Arabidopsis thaliana: one gene and its partner. The protein of the gene in region 1 interacts with the protein of each later gene in a pairwise test. Each region holds a gene or a part of one and is shown in the gene's direction. Other genes may lie near its edges.

What was found. Proteins that work in one complex are often made in the same cells at the same time.
Region 2: the proteins of PLA2A (region 1) and AT5G41920 interact in binary tests that used the Arabidopsis thaliana proteins (3 or more experiments, as listed by UniProt).

What each region holds. Positions count from the first base shown.
Region 1 is NC_003071.7:11,291,328-11,297,807, reverse strand, and holds PLA2A (phospholipase A 2A), read left to right. Parts: upstream 1-1,889; 5' UTR 1,890-2,099; coding exon 2,100-2,237; intron 2,238-2,320; coding exon 2,321-2,689; intron 2,690-2,775; coding exon 2,776-2,937; intron 2,938-3,165; coding exon 3,166-3,468; intron 3,469-3,548; coding exon 3,549-3,721; intron 3,722-3,817; coding exon 3,818-3,896; 3' UTR 3,897-4,106; downstream 4,107-6,480. Other genes in the region: HO2 (heme oxygenase 2), read left to right, coding at 4,382-4,856, 4,934-5,157, 5,291-5,372, 5,461-5,543, 5,940-6,047, 6,132-6,224. UniProt on the Arabidopsis thaliana protein: Possesses non-specific lipolytic acyl hydrolase (LAH) activity.
Region 2 is NC_003076.8:16,776,746-16,782,480, forward strand, and holds AT5G41920 (GRAS family transcription factor), read left to right. Parts: upstream 1-2,897; 5' UTR 2,898-3,236; coding exon 3,237-4,454; 3' UTR 4,455-4,679; downstream 4,680-5,735. Other genes in the region: AT5G41908 (uncharacterized protein), read left to right, coding at 538-693; MED10A (Mediator complex, subunit Med10), read right to left, coding at 1,415-1,486, 1,576-1,665, 1,739-1,844, 1,923-2,003, 2,076-2,287; AT5G41940 (Ypt/Rab-GAP domain of gyp1p superfamily protein), read left to right, coding at 5,294-5,511. UniProt on the Arabidopsis thaliana protein: Probable transcription factor involved in plant development.

The sequences.
Region 1 (6,480 bases):
AAATAATAATTCTGCTAATCGGATAATTGTAATAAGATGATGACGACGACGAATTAAGGTGTCATTTTTGGTACACATTCACTCACTTACTAATCATATTCGAGATTGATGATTTGCCGTATCAAAATTATTCATTGATTTTGGGTTCCAATTGGTCTTAATAAAATATAACACTTTGCAAATGTTCAAACATACAAATTTGTATGAAATGCAAGATCTATTTAATTCTAAAAGTATTACATTAAATCAAATGTAACCGGTGAAAAAGAATAAGAAAAAAAAACAAATGTAACCATTTCTTTGCATTATAGTTTTAAATAGACAAACTTAAATATAATTACAAGTACAACTCTTGATTTTATATTGGGATACAGGGATAATAGTATAGGTTTGATTGGTGATTATCAACCGCAGTTTTTTTTCTTGTCATCATTTCAACTGCAATTTGGGATCCAAAAAACAACCAATTGTAAATACTTCACATTGGTGGGTGAGAATAAAAGTGTCAACTTCATTTTCCATCTCTTTATCTATCTAATCAAAGAATTCTATCAACTCAATGATGAAGAAACTTCAACTTTGCATGTCTTGAGAAAAAAAGATATTCCAGCATATCAATGTCGAATCATGTGATTTGAAAGGATAAAAGTATATTGCTCACAAAATTTCTAAGTGTTTTCGCGGAAAATAATAATAATATATGCGATTCTATTCTTTTCTTTGTCAATTGTTCCAAAAATACATTACGAAATTTTACGGTAGAGCACCACAAAAAAAAACGATATTGCTCAATAAAACATTCACATCAAGAAGTTATTGCTCAATAAAAAAAAATTGTTTTGTAATAAAAAAAACTTTTCTTTTAATATATTTTTATTTTTGTAACTGTGAGGTTCAACCATAAATTTTTTTTTTATTAAAACCAATAAATATAGCTTAAATCTCTTTCAAACTTTTTTACATATGTGACTAACCATCAGTGACAATTCGAATTTAATATTACTCACGGTCTAGCAGATGTGTTATAAATTTTGAAATCAATTATAATTTTACAAATTATATCAAACTTGGACTTTGAGTATGTCTCTATTTGCCTTAAATGATCAAATATTACATAAACAAAAAAACTTGAAATTAAGGTTATTAATAAATAATTTAATATTTATTTTTGAATTTTGGTGGATTTAGAAAGAATAAAAGTATTTTTTCTGGGAAAATATGCATATTTATATTATTTGAATTGAGTATAGTAAACTAAGGGTGTTAAATGAAAAACAAATTGTTGTATGTACAAATTGACTTCATTTGGTCAATGAAAGAAAGTTGCAGTGTTGGGGGATAAGTATTGAGCGGCGGCTAAAATACTAAAGATTTTCTAATATTGCCATAAAAGATATTTTTTGTAACTTTCTATTTGTCACGGCACTGATTTTTTCAAAACTCCCATGACACAGCTGTCTTTACCCCATAATATATTGAACGTAAAGTAACTTCTTTGACCAATTGACCATGCTTAGTTGCTTACGTTGTTTATACAAAAGATTCATTGTTGGAAGTATAAGTAGCAGTAATATTACATCGTAGGTTGTTTTCTCTCATTAACATCGTCTCTAGGTGACTAGAAGAACGATCCTTTGTGTGTGAACTCGTGAGCAGAATCTAAACGAAAATTATATAAAGCTTAGAATTCATTAGAAAAAAGTGACATACCAAGAAACCCGAAAATGGGGAAGTTAATTTCATTTGAACAAAAAAAAACATTGTAGTTTTGTAATAAAAGGGTTGACATGGTCTTAATGTGGAAGAAGTAAAGAGGCTCACGAAAAGTCCATGTTGTCTACAAAGGAAGAAACAAGAACCAATAGAATTAGAGTTCAAACCAAAGGACGAAGTATGCAAGTTAATTTGACAAGCTAATATCCTAAGAATGAAGACATGGTCTAACTTTGAAACAGCAGCCACTAGTGTCCTATAAATACATAGAGTTCATTAACCTCTCATAATATCTCACAATCAAAGTTCTATCTCCTCAAGTATCAATACATTGATATCCATTAAAAAAAAGAAATATCAATACATTGCTTTGCTTGTTCTGTAAGATGCAAATGGACAGCCCCAAATCTCCTCTCCAGCCCCCGACCTATGGAAACTTAGTTACAATCCTCAGCATCGACGGTGGTGGCATTAGAGGGCTAATCCCTGCCGTTATCCTTGGTTTTCTCGAGTCCGAACTCCAGGTATATATGTGCTACCTAACTATACAAATATTATGTTTGTAAAATTATATTTTCTTAACTCATATATATACATGGATGCATAGAAATTGGATGGAGAAGAAGCAAGGCTTGCAGACTACTTTGATGTAATAGCGGGAACAAGCACCGGTGGTCTAGTGACAGCCATGCTCACCGCGCCTAATAAGGAAGGCCGACCCTTATTTGCAGCGTCTGAAATTAAAGATTTCTATCTTGAGCAATGTCCGAAGATCTTCCCTCAAGATCATTTCCCATTCTCAGCCGCCAAAAAACTCGTGAAGTCCTTGACTGGTCCTAAATATGACGGTAAATACCTTCATCAGCTTATCCACGCTAAGTTGGGTGATACAAAGTTGAGTCAAACACTTACCAACGTTGTCATTCCAACGTTCGATATCAAGCATCTTCAACCTACTATCTTTAGTAGTTATGAGGTTTGTTTATAGCTTGTTCTATTTGTGAAATTACAATATAATAATTAACAAAACTTTGGTTTAATATATATATGACTATTTTATAGGTAAAAAACCATCCTCTCAAGGACGCAACCCTCGCAGACATTGCCATCTCAACTTCAGCTGCCCCTACATACTTGCCTGCCCATTTCTTCAAAGTTGAAGATTTAAACGGAAACGCTAAAGAATACAATCTTATTGATGGTGGAGTTGCAGCTAACAACCCGGTAAATTTCTAAATATTGGATTTATCATTTATGTAGCAATAGGGTTTTTATACGAAGAATATAATATATCAACAATTATTATGGACTTAAATTGAATAATTATAACATGAACACACAATGTTAGACTATATTTCATTTTTTACTATGGAATTTCTTATAATAATCGATACGAGTTTTCTGTAAAAATCTTGAATAGATCATGATATAGTTGTTATATGTCAAGTATAGGCTTTGTTGGCCATTGGGGAAGTAACAAATGAGATCTCAGGAGGAAGCAGTGACTTTTTCCCAATAAGACCAAATGATTACGGAAGGTTTCTTGTGCTTTCGCTTGGAACCGGAAATCATAAAGCCGAAGAGAAATTCAATGCAAAAGAAGTAGCTGGTTGGGGACTATTGAATTGGTTAACACACGACAACTCTACACCTATCATTGATGCTTTCTCGCAAGCTAGCTCCGACATGGTTGATTTCCATCTCTCTGCCGTTTTTCGAGCTCTTCATTCCGAAGCCAACTATATTCGCATCCAGGTATCAAAATCAGCTAGCGCACTAACCATTTCTTTTTCTTTGTCTCCACAATTCCTAAGATTTGGGTATTAATTATATAGGATGACACATTAACTGGGGATGCTGCTTCTGTTGATATCGCTACCGTCGAGAATCTGGACATTCTTGCCAAGACAGGAGATGAACTACTTAAAAAACCTGTTGCAAGAGTCAACCTAGACTCGGGTTGTAACGAAAATGCTTATGAAACGACTAATGAACATGCTCTTATAAAGTAAGTGGCCCAATTTTTGCATTTTATAGCTTTATTCTTTCATACTTAAGGTGATTAAAAGTATTTTGCTAATATATTTAAATTTTGGTTGTGAAGGTTAGCAGGAATACTTTCAAAAGAAAAGAAGATCCGAGACATTCGTTCACCTCATGCAAAAGCTCCAATTAGGATCTAAAGAGATCAATTATTGTATCTTGTATATTGTTGATGATTCGTTTGTTTCACTAATGCACGTTTGGATTTATATTAATAAAAAGGTTGCACCACATTGTGGTCACTTGTACGTTTGAATAAAGTCAATAAATATTTAATGGATGGAAATGCTCTAAAATGTTTGGTCATTTTTCAACATACATTATACTAATAGAATAATGGCGAATAATACATAGACACGTACGTACTGAAACCAAAGTTATCTCAACTAATCTAATTATCTAAGCCTTTTTTTTATGGCTTATCAACTAATCTAAGCATAATGTAAATATAAAAAAAACTATTTATTTTTTACATCTGCCCTATTTAGGCTAGTTATGAAATAATTAATGGCATGACATGTAAATAATAACAAAATTAAGGGTGTTTGGTTTTCCAATGTTTGTCGATTAGGCTGAAAGCGAGAAATCAAAGTGAAGGCAGCGTCTATCTTGGTCGTCGGAATCCATGGCTTCTCTTCTCAGGCCAACTCCATTACTCTCTACACCTCGTAAGCTCACTCACTCTCATCTTCACACATCTATCTCTTTCCCATTCCAAATCTCAACTCAGAGAAAGCCACAAAAGCATCTTCTCAATCTATGTCGTTCGACACCAACACCGTCACAACAAAAGGCCTCACAGAGGAAGAGAACAAGGTACAGGAAACAATACCCAGGAGAAAACATTGGTATAACTGAGGAAATGAGATTCGTCGCCATGAGATTACGCAATGTTAATGGTAAAAAATTAGATCTTTCTGAAGATAAAACTGACACCGAGAAGGAAGAAGAAGAAGAAGAAGAAGACGATGATGATGATGATGAAGTAAAGGAAGAGACTTGGAAGCCTAGCAAAGAAGGGTTTCTTAAGTACTTAGTTGATAGCAAGCTTGTCTTCGATACTATTGAACGAATTGTTGACGAATCTGAGAATGTGTCTTGTAAGAACCCTACTTTGGTCTCGAATTTGACAGTTTGGTAATGATTTGGGTTAATGGGGTTTGTGTTCAATGTACAGATGCTTACTTTAGGAGAACAGGATTAGAGAGATGTGAAAGTATTGAGAAGGATCTACAATGGTTAAGAGAACAAGATTTGGTTATACCAGAACCAAGTAATGTAGGAGTTTCTTATGCAAAGTATTTGGAAGAACAAGCAGGAGAAAGTGCTCCTTTGTTTCTTTCTCATTTCTACAGTATCTACTTTTCACATATTGCTGGTGGTCAAGTTCTTGTAAGACAGGTTAGTTTCTTTGGAAAGCTTTCATAAAGTAACATAGAAGAGTTATATAACTGCATAAGGTCACATCCAGCATATTGAATGGTTAAAGCTAGTTCGATATATTAAAGATTAGTATCGATATAAATGGATTCAGGAGAGTTCGATTTATCGGGAGTTTTGCTGGTTTTTAGTATACTTTTCACACATTGCTGGTGGTCAAGTTATTTGTAAGACAGGTTAGTTTCTTTGATAAGTGTTCACAGAGTAACATAGAAGAAATTTTCAACTGCATAATGTCACATCTAGGATATTGAATGGTAACAGCTAGTTTGATAGAGTTAGAGATTGATATAGATATAGTGGATTCAGGAGAGTTGGGTTTATCGGGAGTTTTGCGGTTATGGTGGGTATGAGAGAGTGGCGATAAGAATGAGAATGAGAATGTGAGAAGATTTCCATTCTTCTTCATTGAGACTCAACTTACAAATAGAACTGTGATAAAGAAACACTCAGATCCTAAACCAAAACCAACCAACACCAGGCTTGCTCAATTAGTTTAAAGCTTGCCCCAAAAGAACTTGTTAACCGACTGTTAGTTAGGTTAATGTGGTATTAACCAACGGGTGAACTATGCTTTTGTCTTTATTTTTGAGATTTATCATAACTGTACATTCTTTTTGTTGGTTCTGTTGTGTTCTGGTTCTTACTTTTATCAATATATCCCATGATTTGGACTGTCATAATTGTTTGGTAACCCTTATATGCGAGGTGTTCAAATGTAACTGATCAGTTGATTCATTAAGGTATCTGAGAAACTTCTGGAAGGAAAGGAGCTGGAGTTCAATAGGTGGGAAGGGGATGCACAAGACTTGCTTAAAGGCGTCCGTGAGAAGCTTAACGTGCTTGGGGAGGTCAGATTGTCAATGAAAATTATAACTCTTCATTCCACCAGTTGCTAAAATCTGATGTTTTGGTGATGCTTTTGGGAAATGAAGCACTGGAGTCGGGACGAGAAGAACAAATGCTTGAAGGAAACGGCAAAGGCATTTAAGTATATGGGGCAGATAGTTCGCTTGATCATCTTGTAAATATCTAGGTTTTAAAGTTAACAGTTTCCGGCACCAGACCTGTGTTCACTACGGTAAGTCTGGAATAGTTTCAAAACTTTCATTGTCAACTGTCTCTTCACTGAAAATCAAATCTCCCCTGCAGATTGCATTGCTCCAATATGCATACCGCAAGCATTGTGGTCTCGCTAATTCAGGGCAGTGCTGGAAATGAAGCTGATGACCACCAGCCAGCCTACATGGCTGGAAGAGTAACTTTCTGTTATTTGTTGGCTTA
Region 2 (5,735 bases), on another chromosome or scaffold:
TTGATTTATGAGTATTCTTTCATCTAATATTGCAAAACAAATTCGTTTAACGAAGTCATAGAAAAATTATTTAAAATTGATATACAATAATCTTTTATCTATTTAGGTAATATTCGGAAAATTTTAGATCGAAACTCATACATCTTTTTATCGGAATATCAACTTCGCAACCTTTAGAAAATCCTATGAAACACAAATCTTTAAAAAGTCATAGAAAGCTACCATTAGACCAAAACCACTTGGTTATAGGTTTCTACTTTCTACCACTAAGATATGTAACATTATTACTCTTTGATCATATTCACTAATCATTTCGATTGTCATAACATATATCACCAAAACTCATTTGCGTTTTTAAGTTTTTAATGGAACAGAGGCACACCAAACTCATTTGTGTTTCGAAGTTTTTGCTGTTCATGTTGGAGGTAGACTCAAAGTTCTTCAGGACTTAGCTCACTAGCTGACTCTGCATCCCCAAAAGGTCGCTGTATGGTTTCAGAATAGACGAGCCAGGTCCAACACCAAGCATTACGTTGGATGCCGGTTACGAGTCTCTTGAGCCTCCTCCCTATGGACAGAACCGCGTCCTTCATCTTTCTTTACAACAGCTCACATGGTGTCACTGAAAACTGGTTTTCTGCAGCTGCAGGAGAACCAAGTATTGATATGGAGACTATAAAAGCAGAGCCATAGTGTCTGATTAAACGAAGCAGAGCCATAGTATCTGATTAAACTACAAATCTGTATGATCCCTTGGTAGTTGAAATAGTAAAAGCGTGAAGGAAGTGATCAAAGACATTTATCAAAATGTGTTTGTAAGAATGGTTGAGAAAAGGAAATATATCTTTGAGAGCATGGTTTTCGGTGATGAGAACTATTGGAAATAGTAACACAATGCTTAAACACACAGACCATCAATATATAAATACCACCCTCTAGTTGGAGAGTGGTCAAACAGAAGCCAATCTAAACACGATGCTTGTGTAGTTAACATTACTACAGCTAAAGATAATGAGAAGCTTCCTTTAACCAGAGATAAGACAAAAATTGAAATTGCAACCAACTCAATGCAAAGCCATATCACTTCTTCTTTCGGCAAGAAGATTATCTTATACAGAACCAAGATTAATCGTCCTAGTAAAAAGCAAATCTTATGTCTCTGATAGGAATCTATCACATACTAGGTACAAAACCCATCGATAGAACTAAGAGACTAGTCTATTTGTAACCTATGAGTGACTATTTAACAGCCTCATGAGTCATGACCTCAGAAAGCTAAGGAGAAATTCTCAAACTATATTAGTCAAGTGCAAAAGAACCAACGGATGTTATAGAAATTCCAAGAAGGCTTGTTCGTTTACATCCTCATTGATCTACTTGAAAATTTTATTCTAAAAGGCAAGATTCATAGCTCTTATAGCTCACTCTTGACCTTAGCATCCCCATTTGGTAACACACTTTGCGTTTGAGCCAACCGTTTTGCTTCCTGAATTCAAATGAAAATAAATTTATCACCTTGACTAACTATTGTAGAAACTATCTCAGATGAGAAACAAAGGAACGTCAACAACTTACAGCAGCATAACTAGCACGTATGTCTCTATACCGATCGACTTCATCAGGAAAAGCCTGTTCAAGCTCCTCCAAGAGATGTTTTCTCAAACCCTGTACCAAACAATGTCGACTTTAAAATCATGAGTGGCCAAATTGAGAGAACCAGTAGAGCAAAAGGAGTCACCTTAAAAGCATCACTCTTTCCCTTTGTAACTTGATTTTTAGCAATGCAGTTCTTATTAAGAACATCTTTTGTAAACTCATCTGGGTTCTTCCCATCATCAATCAAGCTACAACAAACAAAGATATATAAACATAAGAGAGCAACAAAAATTCTCTAAAGAGTCTAAAAAGGGACTTGTTCTCACTTAAGAACCTCAATGGGGACTTGAATGTTGCATTTATCAGACAACTTAGCCATATTATCAAGCTCCATCACAAGAGAATTGCTGCAGATAGAGACAAAATTTCAATCACACAATACTCAAAACAATGGATCAATAGAGAAGAAGAAAAGTTACAGGCGTTGGAGGAGGTGAAGCTGAGAAGCAGGTGTGAAAGAAGAGACGGTGAGTTTTAATTGATGAAGGAGTTCTAAAATTTTCTGATTCGAGTTTATAATTTGGTTCAGCTTCTCATTTGAATCGTCGACGGTTGCAATTGCATTGATTTCGGTTTTTATCGAACCGTTGATTTCACCAATTCCGGCGATTGTGTTCTGTGTTTGATCCATCACCGAATAACTAGAAACGCGATTAAAACACACACAAATTAGGGTTTTGAATCACGGAAACATAGAGGTTGAGGGAAACAATTTATGTAGAGATCAATTCCAATTGACACAACTGGATGAAATTTCTGGGAACGATGAAACCCTAGGACCACCGACGAAGAAGAAGAAGAAGAAGAAGAAGTTCAGAGAGCGTACATGGATGGATTTGAGAAGAAGATCACAGGCGCAAAGTCAAAGTGGTCAAAAGAAAATTAACAATCGAGTTTTGAATTTGTTGTAGTCATTAATGGGCCTTTGGGCTTTTATATGGTTTTCAATGGAGTTAAGTCATGTCCATTTACGGTTACTTAAACTAATGGGTCTATTGTTTTGAACTTTTGATTTTAAAAGGTGGAGATGGTTCTGAATCTCTCTGGTTAAGTATCAATCCATGAGACCTTTTTTTTTTTTTTTTGAATGAATGTGTGAAATTATATTCAACTAAAACAACTGTTTTACAAATCAAATTCAACTAAAACAACTGACAAATTAAATCTCTCTGGTTAAGTGGTACATTTTTAATGTCTCTAGTCTCTACACATAAACGATTAACATGAGAGTTCACCAAATCTTTTCCAATTGGGTTTGTTCACTTGGTTTCGTTGGTTTTAATCTTCACAAATAAAAAAATGGTTTTAAGTAAATAGAAAGAAAAAAGAAAAGAAAAAAAGAGTAATCGAAGGAGCTGTAATCTTCACAAAGAGCACTTGATTATAACATTGAATCTTTTGCAAAAAAGATAAAAATCTTTTCAAGAAACTGATCCATCCAAAATACTATCTTGTCTTCACTCTTCAAAATTCCTGTCATTACTCTCTCGAACCCTTTCTCTTTTCGAATCTCCACTTTTTTTTCTATCTTCTGCTTCTTCTTCTTCTCTCTTCAATGATTCCACTCTCACAAAATCTCCATGACTACAAAACGCATAGACAGAGATCTCCCATCTTCCGACGATCCTTCCTCCGCTAAACGCCGTATCGAATTCCCCGAAGAAACACTCGAAAACGACGGTGCTGCCGCAATCAAACTCCTTAGCTTACTCCTCCAATGCGCCGAATACGTAGCTACTGATCATCTCCGTGAAGCTTCAACACTTTTATCCGAAATCTCCGAGATATGTTCTCCGTTCGGTTCCTCGCCGGAGCGAGTCGTCGCTTACTTCGCTCAAGCGCTACAAACGCGCGTGATCAGCTCTTACCTCTCCGGCGCGTGTTCTCCCCTCTCCGAGAAACCACTCACTGTTGTTCAGTCTCAGAAAATCTTCTCCGCCTTGCAGACTTATAACTCCGTTAGTCCTCTGATCAAATTCTCACATTTCACGGCGAATCAAGCCATTTTTCAGGCGCTTGACGGAGAAGATTCCGTTCATATCATCGATCTCGATGTTATGCAAGGTCTTCAATGGCCGGCTCTATTTCACATCCTCGCTTCACGTCCTCGAAAACTCCGATCAATTCGAATCACCGGATTTGGTTCCTCCTCCGATCTACTCGCTTCAACTGGCCGGAGACTCGCCGATTTCGCATCATCGTTAAACCTCCCTTTCGAATTTCATCCAATTGAAGGCATAATCGGAAACCTAATCGATCCGAGCCAACTCGCAACGAGACAAGGAGAAGCTGTGGTGGTTCATTGGATGCAGCACCGGTTATATGATGTTACAGGGAACAATCTCGAGACGTTGGAGATTCTACGGAGGCTGAAACCGAATCTGATCACGGTGGTGGAGCAAGAATTGAGCTACGACGATGGAGGAAGCTTTTTAGGAAGATTCGTGGAGGCTTTGCATTATTATAGCGCGTTGTTTGACGCGCTAGGAGATGGATTGGGTGAAGAGAGTGGTGAGAGATTCACGGTGGAGCAGATTGTTTTGGGGACGGAGATAAGAAACATTGTGGCGCACGGAGGAGGAAGAAGGAAGAGAATGAAGTGGAAAGAAGAACTGAGCCGGGTCGGGTTTAGACCTGTTTCGCTTCGGGGTAACCCGGCGACACAAGCGGGTTTATTGTTGGGTATGTTACCGTGGAATGGATATACTTTGGTTGAAGAGAATGGAACCCTCCGTCTTGGCTGGAAGGATCTCTCGCTTTTGACTGCCTCTGCCTGGAAATCTCAGCCGTTCGATTGATTTTATTTTTATTTTATAATGCAAACTGCAAAGTGATCATTAAGATTTTTTGTTTTGAAAATATTTCCAAACAAATTACGATAATTACGATAAAAAAAAGTCTTCATTGACGCAAAAAGTTGTTGATATTGAGAATGAGAAGGTTGTTGATACTAAAAATGAGAAGGTTCATGTTAGATAACTATATGCATAAGAGAGGTTCTTGTTAGATAACTATATGCATAAGAGAGGTTCATGTTAAATAACTCAATAAGCATAAGAGGTTATGACTATACACATATCTGTTAATAAAGTCAGCTACAACAAATAGAAGGTCTAATATCATAGACGATACCACCATGAAAAATCATCATTTCTCATAGTATTCATGAAAAACATCAAGTGGAATTTTTATGAGACCATCAACTTCTTACATTTAGTGAAACTGGTTTTTAATTTGTTCCTTCAATTCTTAAATCAAATCTAGAATTCATACAACTTGAGATTCTTAGAAAATTCAGGATACTTGTCTCTTTTTTCTTCTTTTTTTGTACAATTTTAAAAGAAAGATGTAGTGCAAAAGCCAAAAATCGAAAACAAAAACCAAAAACTAACAAAATAAAAATAAAATGACAACCATTCTTTTTTTTGGGGGGGGGGGGGGAGGAGGGGAGGGGGGGAAAGAAGAAAGAATGACCCAACTGTATGAAGGCCCATTAAAAAAGTGGGCCCAATTTCTATAAACGACCTTCGACTTTTTCAATAATCAATTTTCATCCAATTCAACTCAGGAAATTGCTATGATTTTACTCTGAGAATCAGAAGAAGAAATCTCGGTGAGCAAAATCCCTAGTTTTGGGATGATGTTTCCACGACTACGATTGACGAAGGTCTTCTTCTCCCCGATCATCGCCGGGAAATGGATCGTCTTTGCCGACGGTAGCAGCGGCGGCGGCGTTGGTAGAAATGGCTACTACGGTGGATTGTGGTCGTCGGCCGTTATTCCTTCCAATGTTGGTTTAGCTGTCGCTGTCACCGTCATGGCCGTGGCCGTCGCTTTCACCGTCTACTCTCGTAGGTATACACACAAAAACGATCTGATTTATGTTCTAATCGATTTCTTCAAAGCAAAGAAGCAATGCTTGTTCACTACTTAGTTAAGTAGTTATTTGGTATCCATAGATTTGATTGGTTCTTGCTTCTTTGTTACCTCACCAATTCGAGGCTGGATCGTCATGCCTTTAGGTTCGAAGAATTCTCTGTTAGTTAGGTTATTGTGATTGAGTTCTTGGTCCAATGTTA